Linked DNA regions of Notamacropus eugenii. The protein of the gene in region 3 purifies or fractionates together with the protein of the main gene of each other region. This does not show direct contact. Links are inferred from orthologs where the notes say so. Each region holds a gene or a part of one and is shown on either strand. Other genes may lie near its edges.

Region 1 (10,710 bases), on a different chromosome or scaffold from region 3:
AATAGCTCCCTGCTTGTCTCTGAGGATCAGTGCCTTTTTTGAATCCACAGCTGGTATTTCTATCATGAAACATAACAAACCCTGAACTACTACTACTGTCTTGCCACCTCTGTCATCAATGATTACCACTTCGTCAGATTCTGCTAGTGACTGATGGATTACCTGGTTACCTGGACCTCTCAGAATACTAATTTCCCTGAGACTAGGATAAAAAAATGCATGCAACAGAAAGAGAGGTGAGGTGCTTGCAAGCAACCACGTGAGAAACAAGGTAGCTGTCCTTACCACTACCTACCTCACAACAGTGCTATCCCACTTCCAGCCAAAGACAAAAAAGAGAGATCCAAGTCATGCTTTTTATGTGCAAATTCATTTTTGGTACAACGCTTCTTGAGTCATTAGTCCTTCTGGCTTCTCAGACAATTAGGAGACATGGTCATAGCACAGTAGCAGCTCCTCAATCATCTTGGTTAGAAACAGGCTTCCCAAAGTTGCCTGTGTTGGACTGGAACCAGGCAGGAATATCTGCATATACTCTGTAGTGTCTACCAGAAGGGTAAGTCCAAGCAAGCTCTAAAGACTTGAGTCCGCATTGACTAGTTTCCCTTTACATTATGAACATACAAACCTCAAGTTTGGTGATAAAAGGTTTGACCTTTTCACTCAGTATGTGAACATCTACCGCATGGGATCCTCAATCCTGTGAAACTTATAGTGTAGGTCTTAGTGTGGGCGCTAGGTGGTGCAGTGCATAGAGAACTTGTCCTGGAAACAAACTCCCCTTCCGGAGTTCAAATCTGGCCTCAGACACTTACTAGCTGTGTGACCCTGGGCAAGTCACTTAACTTCATTTGCCTCAGTTCCTCATCAGTGAAATGAGCTGGAGAAGGCAAATCACTCCAGTCTCTTTGCCAAGAAAATCCTAAATGGGGTCACAGTCACATGACTGAAAAAAGACTGAACAAATGTCTTAGTGTACATGTAAATTAGATTTGGTTGGTTGGTTGTTGTCCCTCGTTCTTGAAGAAGACCAAAATGACATCGTCATGATAAAGTAAAATTTCAGTGTGAACAACTATGGCTGATCAGACCAATATGAGCTTGGAATGTTCTACCATGGATTGGGCACAGATCATCTATATGAACATTTGATGTGGATACTCCAGATTTCTGCATCCTATGTTTCCTTTGTGCTGTCTCAATTCTGCTTTGCTCATAGAGCACAGTACCCTTTCTGATGTGGGTATGCTGAGTGGTCACAGTCAAACCCAAAGTTCTTGAGAGAGACCTTTACAATGTCTTTGTATCGCTTCTTCTGACCACCATGTGATTGCCTATCCCATAAAATAGTTGTTTTGGCAAGAGTACATTTTGCATTCAAACAACATGGCCAGCCCATTGGAGTTGGGCTCTCTGAAGCATAGTTTGAATACTTGTCAGTTCAGCTCGAGCAAAGACCTCAGTGTCTGGTACCTTATCCTGCCAGGTGATCCTCAGAATCTTCCTAAGACAGTTCAAATGGAAGTGATACAGTTTCCTGACATGGCAGTGACAGATTATCCATGTTTCACAGGCATACAACAATGAGGTCAGCACAACAGCTCTGTAGACCTTCAGTTTGGTAGTCAGTCTAATACCTCTTCTCTCCCCAACTTTTCTTCAGAGCCCCCCAAATACTGAGCTAGCTCTGGCAATGTGTGCATCAACCTCATTGTCAATGTGTATATTCCTGGAAAGTACACTACCAAGGTAAGTGAACTTACCCACAGCATTTGAAACTTCTCCATTTGTTGTAATTGATGGTTCCACATATGGATGGTGGTGGCTGATGGAGCACCTGTGTTTTCTTGGTGTTATTAGGCCAAAACTAGCATAGGCAGCAGAGAATTGATCCATACTTTGTTGCATCTCAGCTTCAGAGGTTGCATTGAGTGCACAATCATCTGCAAACAGAAAATCATGCACCACTACTCCCTCCCTTTTGGTCTTGGCTTGTAGCCTTTTCAAATTGAGGAACTTACCATCAGCATGGTAGTTGATGCTGATGCCATGTTCATCCTCATTGAAAGCATTTGACAACATGGCTGAAAACATTATGCTAAAAAGCATGGGAGCAAGCACACAGCCCTGTTTCACTCCACTGGTGACTGGGAAGGCACAAGAGCTTTGTCCATTATCCAGAATCCAGGCAAACATGCCATCATGAAACTGACGTACAATACTGATGAATTTCTCTGGGCAACCAAATTTTGACATAATTTTCTATAAGCCCTCATGACTAACAGTGTCAAAGGCCTTGGTTAGATCTACAAGTGTTGTATACAGACCTCTGTTCTGCTCCTGGCATTTCTCCTGGAGTTGTCGGGCAGCAAACACCATATTGACTGTTCCTTGGCCCTTTCTGAAGTCACATTGGCTTTCATGTATATGACCATCTTCCACATGAGGGCTCAGCTTATTAAGAAGGGCTCTAGCAAGAATTTTGCCAGCAATGACTAAGAGACAGATCCCCCTGTGATTGCTGCAGGACAATCTATTCCCTTTACCTTTATGGAGACGAAAAATGGAAGCATCCTTGAATTCCTGGGGGATAACCTTCTCTTGTCACATAACCTGGAAAATTTCAGTCAGCTTTTGTATGAGCAACGGTCCCCCTACCTTGTAAATCTCACCTGGAATAGAATCAGCACCAGGTGCTTTGCCACATGAAAGGAGCCTATGGTCCTCAAAACCTCTTTTTCAGTTGGAAGTTCAGCTAAAGAGGGATTGACTACAACCTGAGGTAAACTGTGGAAGTGTTCAGCCCATCTCTCTAGGATCACGTCCTTAGGTTTGGTAGAATAAGTTTCAAACCTAGACTCTGAAACCTGACAAAGGAACGCATATGTATATATATGCACACATATATGTATACACACATGTATTTATTTCCCCAGCGTGAGAATCTGCATTTTCTGTTAAAGGCAGCAATATCAATTCACTATTAAAAGCCTGTTTATAAGTAATATAATTTAACAGGCATGTGGTACACCAAAGATTTATATAAGTAGATAGTTTCCTGCAAATATACGTGTGGCAATGTCTGAATGCGTTCCTCTCCCAAATTCTAGTAAGGACAAATAAAAACTTTAGTAAAAATATAATAGCAATTACATATTACTAGTTTCTTTTACCACAAATTATATTAATTTAGATTTTTCCAAATGGGGGACGGAGATAGAAAGATCAGGACAGATTCTAACACAGAAAATATGCAAAATACAGTAAATTATTCCTATAGAAATAAATACATTCAACATAAATGCCCACTAAGACAATCCTTCTTGTAATATGTGAGAAGACAAAACAGTAGCAATTACATCATCTGCGGCAGCCAAAACTTATTAATTTCTAATGCTTTTCCCTTCGAACAATCATTATTTCTTGAATTGGCTGGCACATACAATGACGATTCAGACAGGACTCTTGCTAGTGGGAATTTCTCATAAGTTTACTGCTGATAGAAGTGGATACATTATGGAAGAAAAATACATAATTTGACAAAGGCCATTACTTAATGTTGTTGGGAACAGGAAGAGGAATAAAAAGTGGCCATCAATCATATACTAAGTGGGATATCAGTTGAAGATAACATATCACTACTTATAGTACATGTTATGAATACAATTTATTTTAAGAATTTATTGAAATAAAACATTTACTTTTATACAAGATCAACAGAACACTTTCTTTACAATACTTTGAGAGGGGTAGTACAAGTTTTATTATACCAATTTTGGCAAATTCTGATTTTTTTTTCCTTTACTGAGTGGGAAGAAGGAATCATTTCAGGTCAATTCCACTAAAAAGGTACCTCATTGCTTCCCTCCCTGTCCCTTACCACATCCTGCTTCTTGTGTATGGTGTGCCCCATGTCTGACCAAGCTCTAAGCACCTCACACCACCTGCTTCAGCCACCTTCATGGCCACTGCAACAAATTGTTCTCATTTGCCCATTCCACCAGGGGAAGTCTCTGCATGCTTGGGGTAGACACTCCCCCTAACTCATTGGCAGTTTTGAGGCTTTCTGGCCATCCTCAACCTGGTTTTTCCTCTCTGCTGACCAGGCTACTCAATCTCAGTTTCCTCTCCTGTAAAATGTGAATAATTGTTAACTGTGGAAATAAGATAACCAAACGTAGAAGTGATTTCACTGATAGAACAATTCGCTTCAACAACCCAATTCACAGTCATCTAGGTTCTTTCAAAAACTGGACAGACAGATATCTCACCCAATGTCTTACAGGCCCTTCTCCATCTCTCCTAAAGTTGACAGGGTTGTCCACTTGTCATCCTTCATTCTTGCCATACGAACAGCCTATCTTCTCTCCCATCATAGGGACTGGGATTTCATTGGTTTGGGGAATTCCCACTTAAGCGAACTTCCTCTACCAACACAGCCTGTTCCTTTCTCTGAAATGCAGAGCTGCCTAGAACAGTGTGAAAATCAGCTAGAAACAGAGCGCCACTAAACCTTCCCCGGGATCCCGGTAAGCTCCCTCCTGGTTGAGTTTCACAATGTGGTATTATGTCATTACAGTTTGTTAAATATTTCCCGATTCTGGCTGTGTCTGGCAGCGCTGTGGGTCACGTTGCCTGCCTCTCGTTTGACACCTCTAGCCTGGAATACTTAAAGTTTAAACGGCCTGGTCAAGCCAGGTTTTCCTGACTTTACGTGTATACGAGGCGGCTGGTGGCACAGTGGATAAAGCCCTGCGCCTAGAGTCAGGAAGCCCAGAGTTCAAATCCAGCCTCAGACACTTGAGCAAGTGTTTGCCAAGAACCTCTCAGGCCGGCCCTGGTGTGCTGGACCTGCCCGGAAGGTCCATCAGGGAACCTCAGATGCCCCTCGCTCCAGCCCCACGACACCCCTGACAAGCCCGTGCCTCAATGCCGCCCCGGAGCGCCCCGCTCCACTTTCGGACGGCTCTAGTTGTTAGCAAGCGTCCGGCATTCCTACCCAGGACGCCGGCAGGAGCCCAGGCCTCCCGGGCTGCTGAGCCCTGCGGACGGTTCGCTGCCCTCGGAGCCCTTCTCGGGGAGGCCGCAGAGCGCCTCCCCGCCCCCATCTTCTCGGGTCCGACATCCTCAGGGGCTCCAAAGGCGCGATCCAAACCCTGGGTCCGGGCGGTCCGGAGCCTCCCGGTGGCGCTCACTGCGAAGGCGGACTCCGCAGGAATGCCCCGGGTCAGCCCCGCCGCCACGCTTCCTCCGCCACTTCTCGGGACCATCCCGGGCCGGAGCCCCCAGGAAGAAGCGGCGTCCACGCATTCTCGTGGGTGAGCGTGCTTCCCACGGCGCGCCGCTCCTGCCCGAACTGGGACATCACTTTTCCGAGCCTGCTTCTCAGGCCTCGGGGGACGTTCGCGTCTGCTCCGGGGCGCTCCCACGACCGCTCGCACGGCCGCCAGGCAGCAGCCCGAGGGACTCGGGAGCTGCGGGAGAGCGCGTGCGCCAAAGCCCGTCGGGGCCCGTCGGCCCCGGGGGGCGCTCCCCCTCCCCCCCGTCCCGAGGGGCGCGAGCTCAGGGAGAGCCGTCGCGTGCCGCCGCTCGCGCATGCGCCGTTGGCAGAAGCCGTGAAGTGGCCGGCGGCGACTTCGGTTTCGTGGTGGGGTGACCACCCTGTGGCCGCCGGCCGGACGGGCGAAGCGCCGCCACCGAGGGCCCCCGCCCCGAGCACAGGTGCGTGACTTCGGCGGGGCGGAGGGGGGGACGGAGCGGCGGGCGGGGCGGGGGCGCAGGGGCGACGTCGGAGTTGTTAGAGGAGAGTCCGCTGGGAGCCGGGAGACGGGGGGAGGGAGGAATGGGGGAGGGGCCCTCCTGGGCCCCGGCGAGGGAGGAGGGCTTGAGTGCGCCCGGGGGGCCGGCCGGGCTCCCCCGCCGCCCCCCGCCTTTGCCTGGGACGTGAGGGGAGGGGGAGGGGGAGGGGGAGGGGGCCGGCCGGGGCTGGACGCGAGTCCGTTATAGCGGCGGTTACCATCTCCCGCCTCCGTGCCCGGGCGTTGGGCGCTCGAGCCCCGCGCGCCCCCGCCCTCGGGAAGAAGCGCGCGTCCCCGGAGCCAGGTACGCGGCAGGACGGGAGCCCCCACGGCGGGGGGCGGGGCGTGGAAGGGGCGCAGCCCGCCTGGGATCGGGACCTAGCCGGGGTCTGCTTGGCGCCGGCGGGGCGGAGACCCCCGGGCTCACCCTCTGAGGGGCCCGCCTCTCTGGGCCTTTCGTCTTCGCCGGCCCCAGGAGAGACTGGGGCTGGACCGCCGCGCCCCTCCCCCCTCCGCCGGGCCCTCGGGGGCAGTCCGAGCCCCCGCCGCAGGGCCCCCTTCACCCCCGCACCTTGTCGGCGCTCAGCCCTCGGGCCCGTCCTCTCCCCGGCCGGCGGCTCCGGTTCTGGCGTGACCCGGGCTCGGCGACCCCAGAGGCTGAGGGGGAGGTGCCTGAGTCCCGGCGCGCCCGGGAGAGTTCACCCTAACTTTAATCAGTGGCTCGAGTTAGGGGCGCGCCGGGCAGGAGGCGGCCTGCGGGGGGCGGTCCGCCCGCTCCTGGAGCCGGAGCCACGGTCCCGGGGGAGGGGCCGAGGGGCCGCTGCGGCTCGTCTGGGCTGACGTCGTGGGGTTAGACTCTAAGTCGGGGACGTTCTGTCCGGAGGAGGTGGCGGGCTCTTTGGAAGTGCATCGCTTGGTTTCAGCACTGAACAATTTTCTGTGCTTTTTCATTGCAAAATTAAAATTAAGTTACGGCAACCATTGCGACAGTACCTTGACAGGTGTCTGCTGAGACTGAAGATCTACGACTTGGTGATTTGGGCAGTTGTTGGATTTTTTTCCCGCGCTGTTGTTGGACTGAGTAACATGTTTGTTTTATCCATCCCCCCCTAAAGTACTTGTATCCCTTTTGAGAACTTTTTATTGATGAGTTCTTCCTAGCTCTGGATTACTTGGGTAGGTTCCCGTGCTGCCTCTTATAACTTATTTATTACCCGAATGACCTTGAGTAAGTCCATTCACCTCTGTAGAAGACTTTCTGAGAAGCCTTTTTCTAGTCCAGATCCATGGTCCCTTTGAACATTTTAAATAGAGTGAAAAGCTCTGCTTAGTAAATATTTATGAAATAAAAAGAAGCCGAACATGTGAGAGTGGACAAAACAGAGACTAGAAATAGTTATAAATATTGGAGCAAAAATCAGTTAACTCAGTGGCTGGCCAAATGTTGAATCATTCACGGAGTTTGCAGTTACAAAAGCCAAAAATTCTGTGACTTTGAAAGTTTGACTTGGAGATGGCGTTTTAGACCCATTGTGATCATGGTCCCTGGCTTGTGAGGAGGTGATTACACAAAGCATTTGTTTTATCTCGCTAGTTTACTTTGACATCCGACAATTCAGTTTATTTCCATGCGCTCATTTAAGGACAAACAGACCCTTTTTGTGGTAGGGTCCCCGGATGAAAAAAACAACTGATTATTCCTTTAGACGTTATCCTGGTGATCTTATCAGCTTTATTTTAATAGCCACCCTGTCTTCATGTCAGTAGGTTCGTGCCTGTTGTGTGACACAGTACATCTAGCAATCTCATCATCATGAATATTTGACATGCACAATGTCTTCATGTTTGCAAAGTGCTTTACATACATGATCTCATTTGAAGAATACCTCACAACTCTGAGTTAGATTTCTAAATGTGCAATATAGGGACTTTCTTTGCTGAGGAGAAGGCAGGATGAGAACTAAAAAGGAGGTATTGGGCCTAGTGAATTAAGGCCATTGTTGGGAACAATTTCAGGAAAGAAATGGTAAGACCAAGAACTTGAGAGTAGTGAGGCTGCAGGGACAAGTGTAGATGTGTAGACAACTCTTCAAGAAAAAATAGTAGATATGTGGACCTAGAAGCCAGAAATATTCCAATTCCGCCTTCAACATTAACACTTGTGTGACTCTGAAGTTTGTAAAAGGGGATTGTGTTTGCAGAAAAAAGATTATAAATGAGTTCTGTTTTAGACATGGTCATTTTGAGATATCTATGAAACATCCGCTATTGAGATGTCCAGAAGGCAGCTGGCAGTGGAAGGAGACTGGAGCTCATGAGAGAGGTTACTGCTGGGTATGTAGATATATGAATCATCTCCTTAGAAATTAATTGTTCATTGAACTCATGGATATCATCAGGCAAGATAGTGGAAGAGAAGACAACCAAGGACAGAGCTTTGGAGTAGCGGGGTGAGGGGGGAGAACCACACTCATGGTTATTGGGCATGACCCAAATGAAAATTCAGCAAAAAAGGTCTCTGGGAAGGAAGAGTTAGGTAGGTAGAGAACCACAGGAAAAAGTGACCTGAAAGCCTATAAGAGGGAAGAGTATGCAGAAATAAAAGGATGATTAATGACGTCAGAGGCTGCAGAGAGCTCAAGAAGGACATAGATTGAGAAAAGACAATGAATAGATTTGTCATGTAAGACTGTTCAAATCTTTGGGAATTGAATGTTGAGGTAAGAATGAGATTGCTCAGGGTTTTGAATCTATTGGAAGGAAAGGAAGTTGAGACAGCATATATAAACAGCATTTTCAAGAAGTTTAGACACCTCCTTTGACCTGAAACACCACTACTAGGTCTGGACCCCAAAAAGATAAAAGAAAAAGGACCTTTATGTACAAAAATACTGATAGCAGCAATTTCTGTGGTAGCAAAGAATTAGAAACTGAAGGAATGCCCATCCATCAGTTGGGGAAAAGCTAATTAATAAACAAGTTGTGGCATATGATTGTGATGGAATACTATTGTGCTGTAAGACAGAGAAGGGATTGATTTCAGAAAAATCAACTACTTTCTCAAAGTAGAACTTAGTCAATTAACCACAATTCTTGGGTTGTTATTCAGTTATTCAGTCAATTCTGAATCCACTTAATGCACTATTTAGCAGATCTAGGAAGGTAGAAAGCATAGGACCAAGGGTACAGATGGTGATATTTGCCTTATTAAGCAGTAAGTATTGCCAGGAAGAAGCAGGTGATAATGCTGAGAAATTTGGGTGAATGGAGGACAGAAGGCTAGGGGACTGAGTCCATGTTTAAGTCACCACAGTTTCTTTAAAGAATTAAGCTGCTGTCATCTTGTATAAGGGTGATGGCATAGATGGAGGAAAGAAAAAAAACTTTGAAATAGTTGAATGGATAAAGATAGAGTAGGATTGTCAACATCAGTTCAGGCCAAGCTAAAGTTATGTATCATAACTTTTGTAGTGTATTCTAGAGTCATTTTACATTGTCTTTGGTTTTATACTTAATAATTCCTTCAAAGTAATTTTTTTCTTGTTCAGTGTATAGATTTACTTATCCACCATTTCCCATCTAATGTTTATCTCTTATCTGTTTCATGGTGTCAGGGTTACTTTGGTCTCTCTCTACTGTATTTTGGCCATCATTTTTGTTTGCAAACATTCAGGTGCTGTATATTACTATCGTTGCTATTGTCTACGTTGCTCACCTCTTTTCTGACCTTTTAAATCTAGGTTTTTGGTGTAATTTGAATATTTATCTAAATAAATATCTAAATATTTACACACTTAATTTGGCTTCTGGTATATGTATCTCTCAATTTATTGACCTTTGCTATGTTGGTATATAAAATTAATTTTCTTAGTCATTTATATTTTAAAAATAAAGCTGCGTCTCATTTTTTATTGAGCTAAATGGGAAAGTTTTGGCAAGTAAGTTGCTAAAATGGATATAGTTTATTTATAGCACATTTACTAAGTGCTGTAATACTTTAGTAAAGGCATTCTTATCAGGAGTTATGCGTCCTCAAATCACTTCACTTTGGGGAATCTAAATAACACTTTACTTCACTTCTTAAAAAAAATTCTAAAGTAGGGAAGGGGCATCAGGAATCAGCTGGACCACAATTAATTGTTTTATATTCACATGGCAAGTTCCATGACCTAATATGATTTACATTTATGAATATGAAAATATATGTTTAAAAAGTCTCTAGTAGGAATTCCCTGAAAGGTCAGTATTAATTAGTCAATGAGAGTAGGTGACAGTAAAATGAAATAAAACATTTCCCCTCTGCTTTCTAGAAGAAATTAGTCTTATCCCTTCATTCAAAATGAGGAAAAGTGAGTGTTTCAGGTATACTTGTTTTTAGGTAGGAAGTAATACACTATAGTAAACATAGTGTTTACCTTTCCCTCTCCTTCAAAAAAATTTGGAGGGTGATTTTTGAAAAATATTAATTATATTAAAGGAATTAAAATTTTAGGCCCAGCTTCTCAGAGTTAAGAGGAGTAGATATTAGCTACCAACCAGTAGGGGTGAGGGGACCTATGGTTTTAAAATTTTCTAGATAGAGTGTCCAAAAGTAGCTGTCCACCTGAGTGAAATTTATTCTACCTTCATAAAATACCATATTAATTAGATATTAGGCAGTGTGTGTGGGGTGGTGGCGGTTTAAACTGTTTGGGGCCAAATGAAAGAAAAAATGTAATTAGGAATGGTTACTATGACAGTGTTTTGAAATCTTTTTGTTAGCCTAATGCATGACATCTTAGGAATCTGGGATAAAAGAAACTGTAGGTATGGTGATGTTACAAGTGAGTTTATAAATCATTCCTCAAATCTGACATCTCTTTATTACATAAGGTCTCATGGGGGAAGAGAGGAGGAGGAAATTATATTCCCT
Region 2 (10,813 bases), on a different chromosome or scaffold from region 3:
CTGCTCCTCTGCCTTCCCATTACCCAAGGTTCAAAACTTCAACCTTCTGTGAGAAAGAGTTTAAAGTAACTGGCCAAAATAGAAAATTTTGTGACCTGTGGATTTCTGGTCCCTTTCATTATTACCAATCATGAACATCAACTTAATTCAATATTTATTGATCTCCCATTGTGGACAAGTCAGGATGCAAAAACAAGATCTATTTATGATAAATGGAATGATTCCTTTTTTTCTATTTTCTCTGCAAAGCACCAGATTTCACAAAGAACAGAAGTCAAGCTCAGATAGATATCAATTTGCACAATAAGTATCTTCTTCACTAAATGATGAATATATAACTTTTCAGTCTATGGAATCCTATTTCCTAGTGACAGACATGATTATTTCTGAGTTTATGATATCATATATTAAGAGCAAGAAGAGACCTTAGAGTACACCTCATTTTATAGATAAGGAAACTGAGGTCCTGAAAGGTTAAAGGGAAGGGGAAGAAATAAGCATATATTAAATGCCTACTATGTGCCAGGCACTGTGTTAAGTGTACATATCTCATTTGATCCTCATGACAACCTTGGGAGGTAGGGAAGTAAGTAATAATATAAGGAAACTGAGGCAGACAAAAATTAAGGAATTTGCCCAGATTTGAGGTCAAATTTGAACTCAGGTCTCCTGGACTCCAGGGCTGGAATTCTATCTTTTGCCACCCAGTTGATTTGCTTAAAGTATTATAGGTAACAACTAACAGAGCTGGGATTGAAACCTGAGTCCTAAGACAACAAAGAGTCTTTTCTCTAGTCTATATCATGCTTCTTCTAATGTATATAAGATGGTCACTATACAATATATTCTACATTCCATTATTTTATTATGGAAAATTAGAATAGGGATAGAATAGAGAATTTAAGAGCTACAAGTGTTCTTAGAGATCCTCCTTGACTTTGCATACATTCCATATCTGGAATGCCCTCCCTCCTCACCTTCAAATCAGGGAATTCCAGCTTCCTTCCAAGCACCACTGAGGTTCCCTTTACTACATGAGACCTTTGCTGATGCTCCCAGTTGTTTGTACTTATTTCCTTTGGAAATTATTTATCTATTACTTTATATAGTCTTTGCATTTATATATATATGCATATATACATGTGTGAATATGTACATATGTATATACCTACACATACATAGGTATATATACTGTATATACATATGTGCATATATCATGCGTGTGTGTATGTACACACACATATTCCCTTGAGGTTAGGTACTATTTTAGCATTTTGTCTTTTTACCTTCCTGCCTCACACAACATCTTGTACATAGTAGGCTTACTCTGAATTCAACTGAATTAATGGAATGAACCTCCACATTTATAAGGCTCAGAGAGACTGGGTGAATTACCCAAGGTCATAGAACTATTTAGAGGCATCCTAGACTCCAGGTCTCTGGGATTTCAGTTCAGTGTTTTCTCTAACACCCCATTTCTTTGTTTACATTTCCGAGAGGTCTTTAATTTTCTGTCCTCTTCATTCCCCATTTCTCAGCCAAGTAATTAACATGTAAAAGGACTGAGGGAACTATTTCAAGGCATCCCAGTATTGATGGAGGGCTTTTGAAATGCAAATAATCATCTTCTAAATTTTTTTTATTTGCTAACTTGGTCAATTTTCTTAAAACCTGGTAATCATACCTTATGTCCTGGGGAATGGGCTATACCCTACACAGAGAATTCTTCAAAAAATTGTATTACCTTTAAAATAGTTTTCTTAATTGAAAAAGTTATCTTTTCATTCATCTTTTTTTTCCTGCCTCTGTTTTCTCTTAATTTCTCTTTATCTTTAGTCTTTCATCTCTTACTTATGGATTTCCTTATCTCTCCTGCCTCTCTTGGGCTCTGTTCTTTTCCCAAGTCAAGGTCATCTAAAGGCCCCAGAATTTGGTACCAGGTAGCGAGCCATCAGAGTGGGAATTGGGAGATCTAGACTTTATTGCTGGCTCTGTTCACTTGACCTTGTGACCTCGGGCAAGTCACCTTTGTGGACCTCAGTTTCTTAATCTGCAAAATAAAGAAGTTGAATTGAATACTTTTTAAAGGCCCAAGTCCAGCATGCATTTTAAACTCTTCAATATTCTATGATCTAAGTAGTTTACAAAGCTTCATCCCACCCTATGGACTAGCGAAATAAGATGAAGATTTTCTTTCAAACTCAGACTAAAACACCTTATCCCTTAGGCTATTTCTGGTGCCCTATGGCTAAATATGGTCATAGAGCCATATTTAGAGATGGAAGGAACCTTAGAGGCTCCTTAGTTTAACTCCTACATTTTACAGATAAGAAAACTGAAGTCCAGGAAGGTTGACTTACCCAAGGTCATAAAAGGTAGTTGGGTAAGGATTTGAACCCACATTCCTTGATTTCAAATATCTCACTCAGGCGGTGCATTGTCTCCCTTATATATATGTCTAACACAAATGGAAATTCCCCTCCCTCCGAAAGCCTAGACCTGGGATCTCAGATGAATAGAGCAGGTCTCAAGCTGGAGAGAACCTATGCATTTACTTCCAGCGAGAGAATAAGAATGCCCAACTCAGTGAAAATGTTGTCTGGGGGATGATGAAAAATTCCACTCACAGAGCTCCTGTCCCTTGGGGCAAGTTAGAAATGTCAAGTTAGGCCCAAGGAGAAAGCACCCAAGTCTAATGAAAGGAAACAGTCTCCTGAGTTTCAGCCCCGTGCCTGTGCTCAGACGTTTAAATGCATCCAGGAGCCAGGGAGGAGAGCAGTCTCTCAGCCCTAAGGCCGCAGATCGCCACACCCACTCTCAGAGCTGTCAATGTGCTTGGTCCCTCACACAGGCACAAGATATCAAACAACGTAGCTATGAAGAAGAAATCTGGATCAGTCTAGAAGGATAAGATGTTGAGTTCTGGGAGAGGCTGGGCATGAGAGACACACCTTTCACATAGTTCATGGATGCTCTTAGCTGAAAGGGGATCACAGGCCCTATCTTGGCCAGGAGTGTGACCTATTCCATGTAAATGCAGATACACCTCCTTTCTCAGATTGAGGAACCACATTGAAAACCAAACTAAACACTCATCCTACCCATAGCTCCACTTCAGTAAGTATCATCAAAGATCAGAGATGGAAGGAAACCTAGAAGGAAAAACTAGCTTAACCTCTGAAATTTACAGATGAGGAAAGAGGCCCAGAAGGGTTAAGTTACCCAAGGTCACACAGCTAGTAGGGCCTAGGACTAGAACCTAAGGGCCCCCCGAAATCTCAGGTCAGTGCTCTTTCTACACATTCCTCTCCTACCCCTACCCCCACTACCTCTTGCTCCCTTTCTCTTGGCCTGTGACTTCTGAAACCTCCCTGGTCATTCTCCACCAGAAAATTGCCTCTTAGAGACCAAGAGCCAAATAGAGGGGCAGCCCCTCCTGTGGCATAGCAGGAAAGAGAAGCAGCAGGTTCCGCCCGTCATCCCTAGTCAGGTCTGGTAGACTGGCTGCTTCCTTCTCCTTCTCCCTCTTCCTCCCTGCCCCCTCCCCTGGAGATTTTTTTTTCTCTGTTATTTATGATGAGAGATGGCAGGAAAGAATGACACGTTCACACACTTGGTGGAAGGACCAGGGTGTGTCTCTTCTCTCCTTTCTTTGCAGAACCAAAGCGGCACAAACCTCTTGGGAGTAGTCTGACTTTCTCCACCTGATGTCCCCCCACCCCCCCAAAAAAATCCCTCTCCTCCTCCAGTCTTCCTCGGGGCACCTCTAGCGAGAAGCCTGAGAGGTAAGAAACAATCAGTCTCACCGTCATCACCTGAGGACCCCCTCCCTAGCAAATAAACACAAGACTAGAAGAGATGGCCAATACTAGAATCTTCTATGCCCAGTTTGAGGTGAGAGGCAAGGCATTAATATTGAAGCTACTTCCTCGAACCCCAGTCTCTCCAATCTTCCTGGAAGAGCAGAAGCATTAGCAAGTTTCGTGGCCCCCCCTTTTCTTTCCCTGAAACCAATTTTGACTTGGGGGGGGGGTGTTCATATTCTTCTTCTGCCTTCTGCAGCTTTCTCCCATGCCCAGAAGCAGCCACGCTTGAGATCCCGGCGGTGCCACTCGCACACTGCCCACCGTTCCACGTAGGGGCACAGTTCCAACCATCTAAGTCTCCAACACGCCGCCCTCCCCCACCTTCCCCCCAAAGCAGACGGGGTGCACCCCAGAGCCCAAGTCCTGGTGTAGGAATAAAAGGCAATCGGGCTGCCTGCCCCAAGCCCACTCCCTCCCCGGTCCGAGCAGAGCCCACCCAGTATTGCGTGCAGCACTAGCTGCCGCACTATGCAAAGCGATCGCCAGATCCGGAGCCCATTTCCAGACTCCAGCCTCAATCAGTCGCCCGGCTGAAGCATCTTCCTGCCCTCCCTCCGTCTGCCCCCACCTCCACGGCCACCCTGGTGCCCAGGGGCCACTCTAAGTGTTTTATTTCCTTTGTGTGTGGGCGGGGGGGGGGGCAGGGTAAGGTGTGGGGTGGGGATGGGGGGGGCGAGGATGAAGGGAAGGTGTGCACTACAACTGCAGGGAGGTTGAGGGATGGAAGGGAGTGGGAGAGAATCCAAAGTGGCACCAGACTTAGCCTCCAACCCTGGCAAATAAACCAGCTACTCACCGCTTTGCTCCCCCAGGAAGACCAATTTGAATTTTCTCAATGGGTTCCCAAAATCTCCTCCTGCGGACATGGTGTTGGCTCTGGGGTGTGGGAAAAGGAGGAGAAGGAGTAGGAGCGAGAGGAGGAATAGAGAGGGGAGGACTGTGAAGAGGAGGAAAGGGATGAGGAGGAGGAGGGAAGAGAGGCAGGCTACGATCCAGAAGGGGGAAGGGCTGGATGCAAGCGTCGCCGGCTCTGCAGCTTCCCCCGGTCCCCTGACTCGGGCTGCGCTGCGGAGGAAGGGGTGGAGGAGAATGCGGAGGACGACTCAGGATGCCGCCCGCGCGGGCTGCAGAGCTGGAGGGAGGGCGCGAGGTGTCGGAGCGCCGACCGTCTGAGCACAGGGCTGGGGATGCTGAGGCGGTGTGATCTCGGCGAGCCGGGGGCTGGAGCTTCTCCCCTCCCCACCTCCAGCGCCTGCGCCCTGTCGGCTCTCTCCCATCCTCTCTGATGTCATGCAGGACCGACAAGCCAATGCAGTGCTGCAGGGAGGCTTTGCCTAATGCATCTGAAAGGAGCGGGGGATGGCTGGGGTCACTGTCTCACCAGCCGCCCCTGCTGCCGCCCCTGCTAGAGGAGGCAACGCGCCCTGGACGACGGGGCGAGCAGAGTGCCCTGATCCTTCACCCCTTACCGCCTCGCTCCCACCCTCCCCCTTTGAGCCCAGAAAGGGCTAAGAGAGTGGGACAGAGATATTTATTTCCTACAATGTCAAGCTAAATCTATCTGCATTACTCCAGATCAAAGGGGAAGAAGCCCATGAATTAAACACCAATATACACCACAGCTGAGTCCATCTAGGAGAGAAAATGGAGTGAGAGAGAGAGAGAGAGAGAGAGAGAGAGAGAGAGAGAGAGAGAGAGAGAGAGAGAGAGAGAGAGAGACTGAAGGGGAGAGGTTATTCCTTCCACTCTAGACATCTCCAGCCTCCACCCTTTTCTCCACACAATGCTGAGGAAAGATAAGGTCACTAGTTAGAAGTATGCTGCACAACAGCTCCAAAACCAGAAGCAATTTTTAAAATCTAAATCTCATATAATCACTTGGAAACATGAAAAGTAGGGGATGGAGAGGGAGTGATTGCTAAAAGGTAGATAAATCCAAGAGTACTCAACTCCACCACCTGACGATGTGGCTCACACAAAATTCTACCATCTTTCAGAAAATAATTTGCGTTGGAGTTCTTGAATCTCAGAGTCCAGGGTCTGAGAGCTCCAAAGATGATCTAGTCCTCTTTCTCTTACTGCCAGACAAGAATGTTCCTAACCCTGCCTAGAGAGAAGAAATGGTGTTTGTCTTTCAAGGTCCCCAGTGGAGATTAAAATGGCTTCTTCGATTGTCCGTTCTAGTGACTGATGGGCCATCATTCCCCAGAAGATACTTCCCCCTATGACCTGAATATCTCCTCACCACCCAGTTCTTGGACGTCCTGCTTTCTCTGGAGCATGAAGCTTCCAGCAAAACAATCCAGGTTTGGGCTGACGGAATTAACAAAAGGAAGAGGAGACTCCTCTGGCAGAATTTTCTCCCATCTTAGAGTGCTTGGCCTGTTCTTTCTCAGCGTTCTTTCCAGAATATAACATAGAGATCAGTGAGCTAGAGAAAGGTCATTGAGAACAATCTTTCATCAGCTCACTGTGAGGTACCAAGCAACATCCAAGATGGACTTGAGAACAGTGCCCTGACAAGTGTTGGCTTTGATGAAATAACATTGCCACCCATCTCCCTCCTCCTGAGTCCTGTGCTTAGTGCCTCCTCAAAAGTACACAATGCTTTCAATAGTGTCCCTAGACCCTCTTATTGCCGAAGAAACACTTTTATATTTCAGTGGATCTGTGATGTCATCAATATAGGCATTCCCTCTGTCACAGCAGGTCTCTCACCTTCTGTGCCTTCTCACCTTGATACAGTTCTAGTCCATTTCTCCCAAAGATTCTCCTAAAAGAATTCCCTTAATGTGCTGTAGGTCTTCATGTGTTTTGAACCTGCTTTGTGTTACAGAATTCTTGGGCAGTCTGGTAAAGCATATCCCTTCTCAGAATGAGATGTTTTTAAATGCATAAAATAAAATGCATAGGATTACCAAGAAAACCAATTCTATGGAAATATAGTTATCAAAATGTTTTCAAAAATTAAGTTTGTGGACATTCAGGTTAAGAACTGCTCTAGACTTTTTTTTTTCACATTTCTTGGGTAACAATGGAGAACTGTTCATCTGTTGTATGCCACACATGAACATCCTGCCTTCTTGTCTGATCACACATTTTTCCAATAATATCCCTCATGGCACTTGAACAGAGATTGTCTTTGGAAATAGGTTTCAACCCACTTGCATACACCAAGCAGCTCTCTAGCTCTATAGTGAAATGAAATTTTGATTCTTTGGAGTTCATGCTGGTCCAATATTGGCAATCATGTACTATCGCCAACAGACCGTGTAGTTTGCTTGTTTATTCTATAATGATTGCTCTTTGTGTCAGGAAGCAGCTTGGATTGTTAATAGCTCTGTTCTGTTCATTTTTCACTCACTAAACTTTGTCAGCAATCATTTATTAAGAACCTACTATGTGCCGGAGAGTGTTTTAAGCACTAGACTCATTTAGTTTAAGGCTAATATCCTTTGAATACATTTTGAGAAAGCCCCTCTGATGATCTGAAGCTTGATATCATCTGCAAACAGAAGTGTCTGGAGGAATTCGCTGTCCACATGGAATCCCTCTTCTGTTTGGACATAGAGCTAAGTATTGCCTGTGACAGTGGTGAGAAACTGGTGAGTATACATTTTCCTGTGCTATGCCTCTCTTGACATACAAGAGAGTTAGGGAACAAAGTTATGTCTGTGGTGGCATTTATGAAGGAATCTTTTATGACCATAATATACACATGAGAGATTTTTGGTTGAAGGAAATTCTTTAAGGCTAAGTTTTGCTCTAGTATAGAGCAATTTTTATTGTAACCAACGAACAATAAACGTAGCAGAACCTTGTATATTTTGACCCTTTCTGTCACTTATGCTACTGTAACGTGTTCTCTTGCAGACTACCATTTGTGAAAGGCTGACTGTTCCTCTTGCATATTTTCATCAAGAATAACCTTGATATATGGTCCTCATTCTCATAAACATTTTATAAAGATGAGAAAGTAAGAATATAGGTCAGGAGTTATTGATGTTTTTTCATTCACCTATTTTGGAGAAATAATAATGTCCATGACTTTTATTCCCATTCTTTTGGTATCTTCTCCTCCCTGAGATATCTTATAAAACAATTTCTTATTGCTGTCAAGATTCTATTACTTCCAGCATGAATTTGTTTTGTGTGTACTTCTTCTGGCCTAGTTGATCTTTTCAACTTTATTTTCTAAAGTGCAATTTCAACTTTTTATATATTGTACCAGGCACCAAGATGATAGGGAACAAATATGGTGATTCTCTGTCATTGATGAAAAAGATGGTGTTATAGAAACATTGGCAGATTTCTTCCATTTTCTATTGGTTTAATATTCTCCTAATTTCATCTATCAATGCTGTTGGGATGATGTGGTTCACTTGGGTCTCACATCAGGCTTTCTAATAGAGAATAATTTTCACTTTCATGGCTTTTCTTTGCTTTATGAGGGGGGAAAACATCAATAAAAGATTTGAGAATTATGATACACACCATGACTTGAAAGTTGGAGCAGTATGCTTCCCATCTTCTGTCAAGAAGGTGGTGGACTATAAGTATAGAAAAAGGCATATATTTTTCAGACATTGCCATTGTGTTAATTACTTTTGTTTAATTAAATTTTTGTTACAAGAGATGATTCTAATGGGGGGGGCATGTTGTATGAGGGAGTAATAATTGGGAAGTCACAGTAATGAAAGAAAAAGGAGCATGAGTAAAGTATTTCTTTTTTAAAAGAAGCATAAGGAATGTCATCAAGGAGAAATATCTATAAAAGAAGCCATGCTGGTCATGTTGTTCTAGTTCAGGATAATAGATAGATCATCTGAGTTCTATATTGTACCATCTAAATGTAGAAAGACTTACAGGATGTGTTCAGCATATTGACAGGAATCTCTGAGGAAGGATCATGGAAGAATGTGGATAAGAATTCCACAGGACCAGAAGTCACAGATGTTTTGTGGTCTGTACCACAGATCCAATACCAATACTTCCATCAATGAGATATTTCTATTGAATTATTGAAGAAGGTGTCAATGATTTCATAGGTTATCCTGCTTCTAGAGGAATTATTTTTTTTAAAGAGGAAGACAGATTGACCCAAACGAACACATATGTAATGGTAGAATTTCAGCAACCAGGTGGGAGAACTGTTTAGAGGTAAAGAAGGGGAGAGAACTTTTCAGCAAACCAAAATCACAATACCTACTCTTCAAGTTGATTCTTTATCTTCACTTGCATCAAATACTGTGTTCAGTTCTAGGTACTATTTTAGGATAATAATAAGTTGGAATAAATCCAGGAGAGGATAGATTGATAGACAGATAGGTAGATAGGTGATAGATAGATAGATAGATAGATAGATAGATAGATAGATAGATAGACATAGAGATCTCCTTCCTCTCACTGAGCAATTAAAAAATTAAATATAATACTCTTAGAACAAATGCATAATATATTCCAACAAAAGAAACTCCCACATTATTCATGTCAAAAATGTCTTACCTACATTTTAAGTCCATCACCTCTCTGGCAGGAGACGAATGGCATCTTTCATCTTTAGCCCTTTGAACCTGTGGTTTCTCTTTGCATTGATTAGGGTTCTAAAGTCTTTCACAATTGTTTTTCTCTATAATGTGTGATTATGTTCTATTTATGTTCATTTCTTTCTTCATCATTTTGTACAAGTCGTCCTAGGTTCCTCTGAAACTCTCATCCATCATTTCTTATATTACAGTAGTATCCTAACATATTCATATTTTGCTTAGCCATTCCCCAGTTGATGGGAACCTTCTTATTTTCCAGTTCTTCGCCATGAGAAGGGTTGCTATAAATATCTTTATACATATAAGATCTTTTCTTCTTGCTTTAATTTCCTTAGGGTATAGCCCAGTAGTCACATAGCTAGGTCAAAGGATATGGCCGGCTTAATATCTTTATGGGCATAACTCCAAATTGCTTCCAGAATGGCTGGGTCAATTCACAGCTTCAGTAACAGTGCATCAGTGTGCCTGTCTTCTTGCGGCCCATCCAACATTTGTCATTTTCTTCATGTGTCACCTTTGCCCTCTGATGGGCAGGAGGTTGAAGCTCAGAGTTGCTTTAATTTGCATTTTGCTAATTATTAGTGCTTTGGACCATTTTTAATATCGTTATTGACAGCTTGGATTCTTTCAAAGCTGTCTGTTCATATCCTGAAGCTATTTATCTATTGAAAAAGCTTACATTCTAATGACAGAAGATAATACATTAAGGGGTCCTGGAAGAGGGAAGGAGAAGAAGAAAAGGGTACCTGCTTGGAACCATGATGAGATGTCTGTGAAGTATTGTAGCGGCCTGGGCCCCATCAAAATAAGGTAAAACTCACTTTTTAGAAAATCTGAATGATTAGGGGACTTGAAATGACTCTGTGTGTCGTAAGTATAAGCTATGAGTTGATCGAAAGGACTAGACTGAAAAGTTGATTGAAGGGACTAGAGATGTTTAAGCTGGGAAAGAGAAAACTAGAGATGGGGCATGATTATGTTGTTTGTTGTTTAGTTGTTTTCAGTCGTATGTTACTTTTTTGTTACTCTTTTGGGGGTATTCTTGGCAAAGACACTGGATTTGTCATTTCCTTCTCCAGCTCACTTTACAGATGAGGGAACTCATCTATTAAGTGACTTGCCTACGGTCACACAGCTAGTAAGTGTCTAAGGTCAGATTTGAACTCAGGAAGAGGAGTCTTCCTGATTCCAAGAGCGGTGTTTTATATACTATACCACCAAGCTGTCTTTAAATATTTAAATTAAAAAATTAGATAAATATTTAAATAAATATTAAATATATTTAAACATTTAAATTTAAATGTGAAGGAAGGCTTAGACTTGTTTTGTTTAACCCTAGAAGACAGAAATAGAAGCAATAGATGGAATTGATAGAGGCAGATTTTTACTCAATATAAGACT
Region 3 (10,574 bases):
ATATTAAAATATCTACTCAGAAGGATAACAGCAAGATAAAAAATTAAGATACAGGAATGAATATTAAAATTTTTACCTGTAACTCAAAAATAAATACATAAGGCAAATATGAATAAGCTTCCCAGCAACTAGAAGTGTAGATAGGGAAGTTCTATCACAGGAGAAATTCTTTGGTAAATTGTGAAATTTATAAGAAAGGAGTAGAATCCTACAATGACAGAGCAATGGAAAAATTAGGGAAATAAAAAGGGCAAAAAAAATTCACAGAATTAAAAAAAGTCTAAATTTTAAATAGATTTTAGTTGATCTGAAGGGAGTTGAGGTTACTGAGGTTAATAATGAAAACAGCAGTTTACGTTTGTATGGTGCTGTAAAGGTTACTAAGAACACGGTAAAGAGAAACAACTTTGAAAGACTTAAGAATTCTGATCAGTGTAGTAACCAACACTGATGAAGCATGCCATCTCCTACCCATCTCCTGACAACGAAACTGAGAGATTCCAGGTGGAGAATGAGATAGTTTTTTTGAACATAGCCCATAGAGGAGTTTGTTTTTTTCGTCTATTCATATCTATTACAAAGATTTTCCTTTTTTGTTGTTGTTGTTGGGGGGGGTAGATCTAAGTGAGAAAAAATATAATTTTATTAACTGAAAAAAACAGTAAAAAAAGTTTACTATGCAGATCAGGTATATTCTCTCATTTGAACCTCAAAACTAATGTCTAAGGTAGTTCACACAAGTGTAATTATCTCTATTTTATAGCTGAGGAAAGTGAAATTTAGGTATTCTAAGAGCCTTGATTGAGGTCATGCAGCTGGTATATGATAGAAACGTAGCTGTGATTCAATGGTCCGGCACCTAAGGCCATTCCAAATACGGCATATCCCTACCTTCCTTGCCTTTTCTTATATTGCTTCCCCACATCTATTCTAAGCTCTGGCCAAAGTAGACTACTTGCCATCCCATTTGTTTTTATGTCTCCTTGACTTTGTTCACCATTCCTGGAATCTGGTATTATCTTGTGTTCTACTCTCTTTGATTAAAGCCCAACTCAAATACTACAACTGAACACTAGTTATTGATGACCTTTCCTTCCTGAAGGACCTCAAATAGTTCTTTTTTATGTCTTTATCATATATTGGAGTTTTGGTTCTAATCTGTGATTTTATAGGTACAGGGAGTATTCCCTTTACTAATACAAACTTGCAGATGTTATTCAACTTACAATTTTAGAGTGGCTTGAGATATGATTGGTTAAATGACTTGATCCAGTTCACAAAGTCAGCGTATGTCAGAACTGGGACTTGAGAACAGTTATTCCTGACTAAAGATGGCTCTTTCCTCCACACCATGTAGTCTTATCATGTATTAATTTGTATTACTGACATTGTAGATGTCATATTTCCCTACCAGACTATAAGTTCTAACAGAAAGACAACATGGTTTATGAAAATTTTGTATTTCCCCTGTGCACCAAACATAGTGCTCTGTATATACCAGGCAAGTAATAAAAGTTTGGTGACTTTTATACCAAGTTTGTACCAAGGACAATGTTAGATTTTTTTGCTTTGTTTTACTCTACTACCACCCCGAAGAATACACACAGGACATTCAAGTAAGTAGGAAAATTTGTACTGGGTGACTATCACAATAAAGATCCCCATGAATAAAGAAAAAAATTGTTGGATAAAATAGAAAGCTAGTGTTTAGGAAAAAGGAGAATATAAAAATCTAATCATTAGATTTTTCAAACATTTTAAAGACATAGAACAGGGTAATTCCTCATATATTGAAGTAGATTAGGATGACTGAAATTACAGTGAAATACTCTCAGAGAGTTATGCTATAAATTCCATACTCACACCGAGTGTGATTTGGGTGTCACTCATTTTTCTAATTCTGCATCCATAATATGAAAACCAATGACATGTACTATTGCTTGTTAAAGAACATTCAAAGCTATGTTAATAACAGCATCCTGAAAAAGACATATAGTTCTGCAACCATGACAAACTACTGAAAAAAAATCTGGTTAAGGTGACAGTTATACTTTATAATGCAATTGATAAAAATTTATGGAATGTAATTCAACACTGAGCTACACAGTAAATAAGCATTTTACTTAGTCACAAGATATATTCAAACTTTATTGAGCACCATTAATTTGTAAGCCCACAAGGTCCCTTATTTAGACTTACAAACCTGAATATAGTATGATGGATAAAGGACAAAAAAACAATAGAAAATACATTTTAAAAAGCTAATAATATGAACTCCATTAGGTAGCTGATTTCAAAAACTTTATTACAATGCCTAAATCTTACATTTTATAGTTCAAAATTATCAACCCCTCACTGTAACATCCCCACAGAAGTTGAGTTAATCAAGGATAAACAAATTCTGTGATTGAAATAAACCAATCTTCTCTTGTTTAGAGAAAAAAAAACAACCGAATTAACAAGTAAAATCATTACCCCATCTTTTCTTCAGAATAACATTTCTGAACACACACAAAAATGACAAAACAGCCCCTCTTTCAGAAGTTTACACAATTCAATCATAGGCTGGTGCCTATGATTCAAATTACAGTAAAGTATTTTAAAATAACTATCTTAAAACAAAAAAACAGCTATCTTTAAGAAACTTCATTGAAAAGCTCCGATCTAGTTAATATACAACAAACAATGGAGACCCAGGGCAGCACAGTACAGCGGTTCTCAAACTTTTCTAGTTGATAACTTTTTTTTTTTTAGCACTACTGTAACCTCTTGTCATTTTCACTTCCTTCTTCACTCCTTTCCCCTATAACAAATAAGAAAACACAAAGAAGTACAACCCATAATACTAGGAAGAAGAAAAGAAAACCTATGAAGTACAAGCTATATATGACCTGTGCACTAATATGAGGAGGGAGGAAAGTCAATAAGGCTCATCTGTTATTTAAAGGGTAATCTACAGTTCCTTCAGAACTCTCTGCTTTGAGAAACGATGGTCTAGAATTGAGCAGTAACGACTATCATCTGTAACCCTACATGACCTTGTGCAAGCACTTGGCATGCCAGCCTTTCTGGAAAATAAGAACTGCTTAGAAAATACTGGAAGGTAAATAATATTATACTATATAATAGCATTCTGAACCCTCTGGAGGAAAGGCAACTTATAAATCCAAAATACGATCATTACTTAACCAGTCCTAAAGACAAGTACAACCTCCTGGATTTCACAACCAAGCATTCTTTAGGATAAAAAAAGAAAAATTAGCTAATACCTATCTTCTCTTAAGCAGAAAACAGAAACATCTTTTCAATTACTCTTGAGAAAAATACAGAACTCAAACAGTTTGCTACATGAACAACAGTATTTTATATAACTGGATACTTATGTCCACAAGGCCAATGGCCTCAAAGCTCCACATTTCCTTCACAATGAAGGCTTTCTATGGTTCTGTTAATAAATGAGTATCAATCTCACCTAAATACTACTTAGTGGAAAATCCCTTCGCAACTGGTCAGCATCCTGGTTGAACGTGATAGCTACAAATGTATCCTTCTCACTTCTTTCACTTACCTTCAGTAACATCTCGGGGGTTGGAGGTCCGATCACTGGCTGCATCCACAGCTATGGTTGCCAGTGAGGTGGTTGCCCCTGACATTTCACTCATGGGCTCACTACGGCTGGTTTCAGGCACACTTTCCCTGGAGCTAAACCGAACACGGGAACTGGACCGAGAGCTGAGATCCGGGCTAGTGTCTGACAAACCTGGAATGTCATCGATCTTTGTTGGTGTCACCATAAACCGAACTGAAGCCATCTTGGTGGTGGTTTCTGGAGGATGCATTTTTTTTTTTTAAAGAACAAGAAAATAGCAAAACAAAACAAAAAAATCCTTCCTCTTATGCAGATTACTTTTAATCTTGACGTTAGTAATAATAAACTCAATTCTTGAAACAATCACAAACCAACCAAAATAAAGAATATTCCTAATCAGAAAACTGTCCCAGAGCACTAGCCAAATACACAAATCACTAGGGGAAGAAAATAACGCCAATTGTGTGGGACCTCGTTCCTTCAGAATGAGTAGATATCTAGAGAGCTCCCTTGGCCCTACGTTGAAGGCTCCCAGCCATAGTCTCTGTTTTGGGAAGTGACACTACCCTTCTGCCCCCTCACTCTCCCCCAGGTTCTGGCTGAGGTAGTCGTTTATCAGGTGAGTAGCCCAGGGTTCTAGTTGCGGAGGAAACGTGCAGGACCACCGTTATCAGGTGAACATAGCATGGATCTGGATACCAAGAGGTGTGCACCCAGCCACCTGTTGTGTATCAGGTGAATACCCCACAGGTCTGGCAGAGGGGAGGCGTGTGCACCGACACCCGACGTTTTTGAGGCAGATAATCCACTTGGGTCTGGTGAAAAAGGTGCGCATGCATAACGGGAGAAATATCCCACACCACTTTGATGGAGGAGGTGAAGGAGATGGATGTGAGAGGCAGAGGAGGAGGAGGAAAGGATGAGGAAGAGGGGGCCAAGGAGCAGAGAGGATTCCAGAGGTGCCCAGCTGCAGAGGGGCGTGCGGGGGCAGCTGCCCGTTGTTCTCCAGGCAGCGCGGTCACACCGGGGTCTGGCAGACAAGAGAGAGCGGGCAGACCCAGCCCAGGCTGCGGCTCAAGGATGTGGCAGGCAGATCGTCCCCAGTCATCGGTCGAGCCGCCGACCGGTCACTCACTGGGCTGCTCCCGCCGGTGCTAGGACAGGGCCCCCTTCCTCTCCCAGGAGACTTCCTCCCCCTACCAAGGCTCTGGCACAGCTCAGCCCCTCGCCGGCCTTCCTCCGCCAGACACGGTCGCGCGTGTCCCCTCGGGTCTCGGGCAGAGGAGGAGATGACAACGCAGGTTGTCCTCGGCTTCCGAGAGAGGAGAGGATGGAGGAAAGGGCGAGGAGGAGGAGGAGGAGGAGGAGGAGAAGGGGGAGGAGGAAGAGGAACCAGAGGAGGATCTTTCTATCAGGTGCTGAGATCACAGGAGCCCAGCTGATGTAGGATGCGCGCGCAGCGGTTGTTTACTAGACGGGTAACTGTTTCAGCCGCGGCAAATTAGGGCTAAGGAGGCGGGGCTTGACGCGGCTGACGCGCCGGGGGAGGCGGGGGGAACGAAGAGGGGAGAGGGGCGCGCGCAGCCTTCTGCCGGAGCCCCGCCCCCCCGCAACCTCTCCCTCCCCCTCCCCCTCGCCGGGCGTGGGCTCGAGCCGCCGCAGCCTTTCCCCTCCCCCCCCCCCCCCCCCCCCCCTTCGAGCGGCTTCAGATCGAGGCTAACGGGCAGAGACAGAGCGTGCTGCGAAGCCGCGGGGAACGTTCCGAAGGGCGGAAGAGCCCCGCCCCGAGCCCCGCCCGGTGCACTTCCGCCCCGCTGCCCTTCTCGGAGGCTGCAGGACCACGGGCCGGGGTCGGCGCGCCCCCTAGCGGGCGTCCTGCTGGACCCTGCCCCGCAGCCCTCGGCGTGGGCCTAGCGAGGGTGGCGGAGCTGACTTGTGTGGGGGCAGGGAGGGGGACCTCGGAGGAAATGGGGGGGGGGGGGCGGCGGAAATCAGACCGGAAAGAGAACCTTCCACAAGTCAGTCAGCCCCTTTGGGCCTCGGTTTCCTGTGAAGTGAAGCGGTTGGACCCGATGGCTTTTAAGGGTCCTTCCGGATTGTGGGGCCAAAGGATCCGGGTTCAGACCCTGCGGGTGACCCCCTGCGGGTGACCCCCTGTAACCCTGAGCCCCTCCGGGCCTCGGTTTCCCGAACTGTAGAACAAGGCAGCCGGAGTAGATGGCATTTGAGGGCCCCTTCCCTCTCGATCCGTGCTTCTGCCATGCTCTGGAAAGATCCATAGCGATTCCTGCTTTCTGCCGGGCCAGGTCATGGGCTTTATCAGACTCCTTGGAGGTCGTTCGGTCCGGCAGGTTCGGGAAGTGACGTGTCCAAGGTCACCCAGCTGGTGCAGGAGAGCCACATGAAGACCTCGCAGGATCTGAGAGCTGGAGCGAATCTCATTTAATCTCATTTAATCTCGGAGGCCTGGTGATTTGGAGGTCCGCCGGGGTTCCATCCTAGCTCTGCCCCCTGTGACCCAGAGTGTCCTCAGAGGTACAAGTGCTGGAGGAGGTTTCTAAGGCTCTTCAAGACATCCTACAGATGAGGAGACTGACGGTCAGAGGGCACTGATTGAAATCTGAAGTCTTCCAGCTGCCCAGCCAAAGCCAGAACTTCTTCCAATACTTATTGAAGAACCGCTGAAAGCAATATTTTCTGTGCCTTCCTCATAATGACTTTTGATCTTTGTTTGGCAGCATGTGTGGAGGTAAAGTGAAAAAAGGAAAATGTACCTTGAAAATAGCCTGAGAAGGACACACCGTTGAAAGCTCCTAATTTTTAACATTAGCCTGTTTGGTGTTGTCTGGGGAAATGTTATTAGAGACTTAATCCTAAAGCATAGGACCCTCAAGATGAGTATTGGAAATAATGGTTTGCACAGTTAACTTTTATTGTTGTTTGTAAGTATTATAACCTGACGGCCCAAATTAGATCTTAAATTCTGTGGGGAGTAAGGATTGTAAAGCCAATCACTTCCGTGCACTTGAGAACTGCTGCTGTGAATGATTTTAACAGTCTAATCACATAGTATAATGAACTCTATTTAGCAATAAGCTAAACATGCTTAAGCAAAACAGATCATCTGATACGCATATCGTAACAATAGCAACATCCTTAATCAATAACAAGTGTCTGAGTATTGTGTGTGTTTGTCCTTTGATGCTGAAGAAGGCCATACCGTCAGAGAAATAATGACAAGACTTGCACTTGACTGGTTTTTTTTTTGAGTGAGGGAGGGCTGTGCAGGTCACCAGCCTTACTTGTCCCCTAGAGCCATCTGAATCCAGTGACCAGATATTCATCAGGATAACTGGAGATGACCCAGGATGAGGCAGTTGGGATTAAGTGACTTGCCCAAGGTCACACAGCTAGTGAGTGCCAAGTGTCTGAGGTGAGATTTGAACTCATGTCCTCCTGACTCCTGCACTGGTGCTCTGTCCACTGTACCACCTAGCTGCTCCAGTATTTTCTTCAAAATACCACACTAGCCACCCCTAGGTCACAGTAAGAACAATCTTCTTAATACCAAGTGTCCAAGTGAAGTCCTTTCTTATCTTGACTCGAGGTTGACTTCCAAACCCTCCTTCTCTATGGGCTGACCACTCCCAGCTCTTGCCTGGGCTCACATGCAGGCAGCTCTCTGTGCCTGCTCCTTGTTTCAGCTCATGGGAACTGTTCCACTCCAAACTTTTCCTGTTTCTGCCTGATAGGCACCAGGGGCTCCTGCCTCCCAGCTTTTGTTTCTAGGAAGCAAGGCTTAACAGGCCTATAACCATATTTATACACATTACTAGTGCCATCATCTCAATTCACTCATGAAGACCAACAGCCAGGGCTCCTGTCTGAGAAATTAGCACAGATCAACAGACAGGGCTTCTTTCAGAGGAATTAACACAGACCAACGGACAGGACTTCTGTCAGAGAAATCAACACAGACCAACAGAGCTCCAACATCACAAACATGCTTTCTGTTAGGCCTCCCCATAAGCAAGTTCCCCTAGCCCCCTCACAGTCCCTTTTGTCTTAGCTCTGCTTTGTCTCTAGAATATATATATAGTTTCTAATCAAAGACTCTTGATTGATTCAATCAAAGGCAAGACTCAATCAAAGGTATTTGATTGTCCAAAAGTCAAACAGCAAAAGATCCTACTTTGCTTACTGTTGGAGGAATATATTTTCAGTAGCAGAATTAATAATTTTAAGAGTTGGAAGGGACACTAGATCTGATAACTCCTAGCTCTGGGCTTTTTCCATAATGCCACCTAAATACTTGTCTTAAGGTATGTGACTTTTCATGGTGGTCAATAAATGTAGATTGACATAAATAGACTCATTTGGGTGTTATTTGGCTTATTAGAATGTTAAATGTTCTCAGATACCAGTGAATGACTACTTTTGCACTTTTCAGGCCAGCTTTGAGTCATTCCTCCTCACATTTGGTTTAGGCAGGATTGCATTAAGCAAACAGCCCTGGGAATAAATTAATGTATACATCCAGATTTAGTAATACTTTTGCAATTAAAGTTTAAGCCAGGGAAACCCTACTCTTATTTCCAAATGACCCACAAAACCTCAGAGTCCAGCTCTTTAATACTTAAGCAGCCATGTAGGAAAGAGAAAGAGATTATTGCAATTTAGAGAATGGAATTCCCATTTAATGTTGAAGCTAATCATCTTTCATATAGCTTTCAATTCTCCATTCTGTCCCACAGCACTATTTTCTGGCCTGCTTCCAAGCTGCACACAGCTCTGACCCATTTTAGACTTCCAATCACAAAATTGTAGGGACTTGGAAGCCCTTGATTTCCCAAAAGGTTAACATGTCCCTTCAGCTAGGGTTGCTGTGAAGTCAGCTCCCAGAGATAAGGTGTCTAGACTGCTTTTTCCTGATTAAGAGCTTTATTTGAATATATCACTAACTTATTTCTGATAGTGCTTTACATTTGTATAGCACTTGACAGGGTACAAAGTGCCTTCACACATATGATTATGTGCTCAGTAGGCTACACAATAAATAGGGCAAGCCTTATCATTCCCATTTTACAAAAGTACGAACAGACTTGGAGAAATTGTTACCTCAAGGTCATACAGCTGGTGAATGGTAGAGGCAAGTTGCTGACGCTATCCAGTTCTCATTCTTTGATCAATTCAACAAACATTTTTAAGGACCTGTGGCATACAGGGCCTTGTTTGACTAAGGGATTTTTTTTAGGGGGTGGGGATGGGAAGCACTCTGAACCGATTTCATCAGTGTGAAGAATGGAAATGCCCCGTACCAAAACATTAGCAACTGATAATAGGCTTAGAAAGTTGACTGGGACACATTGTCAGGTTAAGTAACTTGATGTGAAGTCAGTGTGTTTCAGGCAGTACATGAAGTCTTCCTGACTCCATAACACCTATAAGTTTGTTATGCTATACTGCCTCTCAGTGGGACTATGGAAATGGAAAATGATACTGCTCCCCAAAATCTCATACTCTATTCAATTTAATTGTAGCTACGTGGTGAAGTGGATGGAATGCTAGAGTCAAGAACTCATCTTTGTGAATTCAAATAGTAAATCACTTCACCCTGTTTGCCTCAGTTTCTTCACCTGTAAAATGAACTGGAGAAGGAAATGGCAAACCACTCCAGCATCTTTGGCAAGAAAACCCCAAATGGGGTCACTGAGGATCAGGTGAGACTGAACAATGCCATGTGCCTGTTGCTGATCCTGCACCAGTGGAGACATCTTTTTACACCAGCAGTTACCTAAGTAGAAGAAATCACAGGTCTAGACCAAATAGATATGTACATATCTACTCTGTATATAGGGTATACGTATACGTAGCACATAGGGTTCTTGAAGGCTGTGTCAATAGATTATAAACTGATTGGTATCCAAATGTAGATGAATACTATTAGACTTGTTACCTGCAGAATTAGTCATGAATTCCCTGTCCTTGCACATGCCACGTGTTCCTTTATATATGTGCCTCTCCATTTTAGAACTCTATGGACATCTACTCTTCCTGTTTAAGATTTATGAAATTGAATGCTCTAGGTTTATGAGATAAATTGCTACTGTCCTTATTGTGTCATTTCATTTCCTCTGATTGACTACAAGTAAGCACACTTTTTTTTTTTTTTGAGTTTTGAGTTGTAGTTTCAAAAGGAGCAGACTCATGGAGTACTTTGAATAGGTGGTTATTTCCAGAGAAACCAAACTGTGATTGCAAGTTGGGGAGATAGTCTAGGGAGAGAGCCATACATATAGTGTATATTTATGTGTACACATATATACAAATTCATTTCCATTAGGGTTTTTTTCCTTTTTGAAAAAACGTAGCTGAACGTAGTTGCCTCCTCCCAACTCTGCAGATGTCATAATCTAAAAGTATACTGCTACTCTATATAAGTGAATACTTTGGGGAAAAGCCTTGAGTATCTATACAAAAGTCCCCACGAAAAAATATAGGATAGCATTATTCCTGGGTTTTTTTTGTATGAGGAAAATAAAGTCAAGCATGTTGATCACAGCAAAGTCTCCAACTAGAAAACTGAGAACTCACTGCTTGCAGGTTAAATTATAAAAGTCCCCAACTCAAGTCATCATCCCTAATGTCACTACCTATTCTGATCCACTTCAGCAACTTGCCTTCTCATCTTCAAAGACTGAAGGGTAGTTTGCCTGTTCCTAAAGCTTCTTGGCAGAGCTGGTCAGGAAGTGAGATCCAAGAGGGGATTTTCTATCCTTTTGCAATAGAATTTATGAGACAGTCAGTTTAAAACAGGTTTGAGGTCTGAATTTTTGATTCAGGGAAAAAAATATATGTTTATATAATTTACTAATTAATATATAAAATATTATGATTTATAAAACTACATAAAATTATGTATTTATATAAAATTGGAACAATCCTCTTATACTTTTTCTTCACAAAGCAATTTTCTCATCAGTGG

What was found. Proteins that work in one complex are often made in the same cells at the same time.
Region 1: the proteins of SLC12A6 (region 3) and CLGN purify together in Homo sapiens (affinity purification with mass spectrometry; 3 studies listed by BioGRID and IntAct, with this or other methods). This does not show direct contact. The link is inferred for Notamacropus eugenii from reciprocal best matches to the Homo sapiens genes SLC12A6 and CLGN.
Region 2: the proteins of SLC12A6 (region 3) and RAB6B purify together in Homo sapiens (affinity purification with mass spectrometry; 4 studies listed by BioGRID and IntAct, with this or other methods). This does not show direct contact. The link is inferred for Notamacropus eugenii from reciprocal best matches to the Homo sapiens genes SLC12A6 and RAB6B.

The regions. Positions count from the first base shown.
Region 1 is NC_092877.1:137,226,011-137,236,720, reverse strand, and holds the start of CLGN (calmegin), read left to right. Parts: upstream 1-5,602; 5' UTR 5,603-5,721; intron 5,722-6,010; exon of another isoform or gene 6,011-6,102; intron 6,103-10,710. UniProt on the Homo sapiens protein: Functions during spermatogenesis as a chaperone for a range of client proteins that are important for sperm adhesion onto the egg zona pellucida and for subsequent penetration of the zona pellucida.
Region 2 is NC_092876.1:334,781,411-334,792,223, reverse strand, and holds the start of RAB6B (ras-related protein Rab-6B), read right to left. Parts: upstream 5,109-10,813; 5' UTR 4,733-5,108; coding exon 4,663-4,732; intron 1-4,662. UniProt on the Homo sapiens protein: The small GTPases Rab are key regulators of intracellular membrane trafficking, from the formation of transport vesicles to their fusion with membranes. Rabs cycle between active GTP-bound and inactive GDP-bound states.
Region 3 is NC_092878.1:17,215,851-17,226,424, reverse strand, and holds the start of SLC12A6 (solute carrier family 12 member 6), read right to left. Parts: upstream 3,969-10,574; 5' UTR 3,840-3,968; coding exon 3,569-3,839; intron 1-3,568.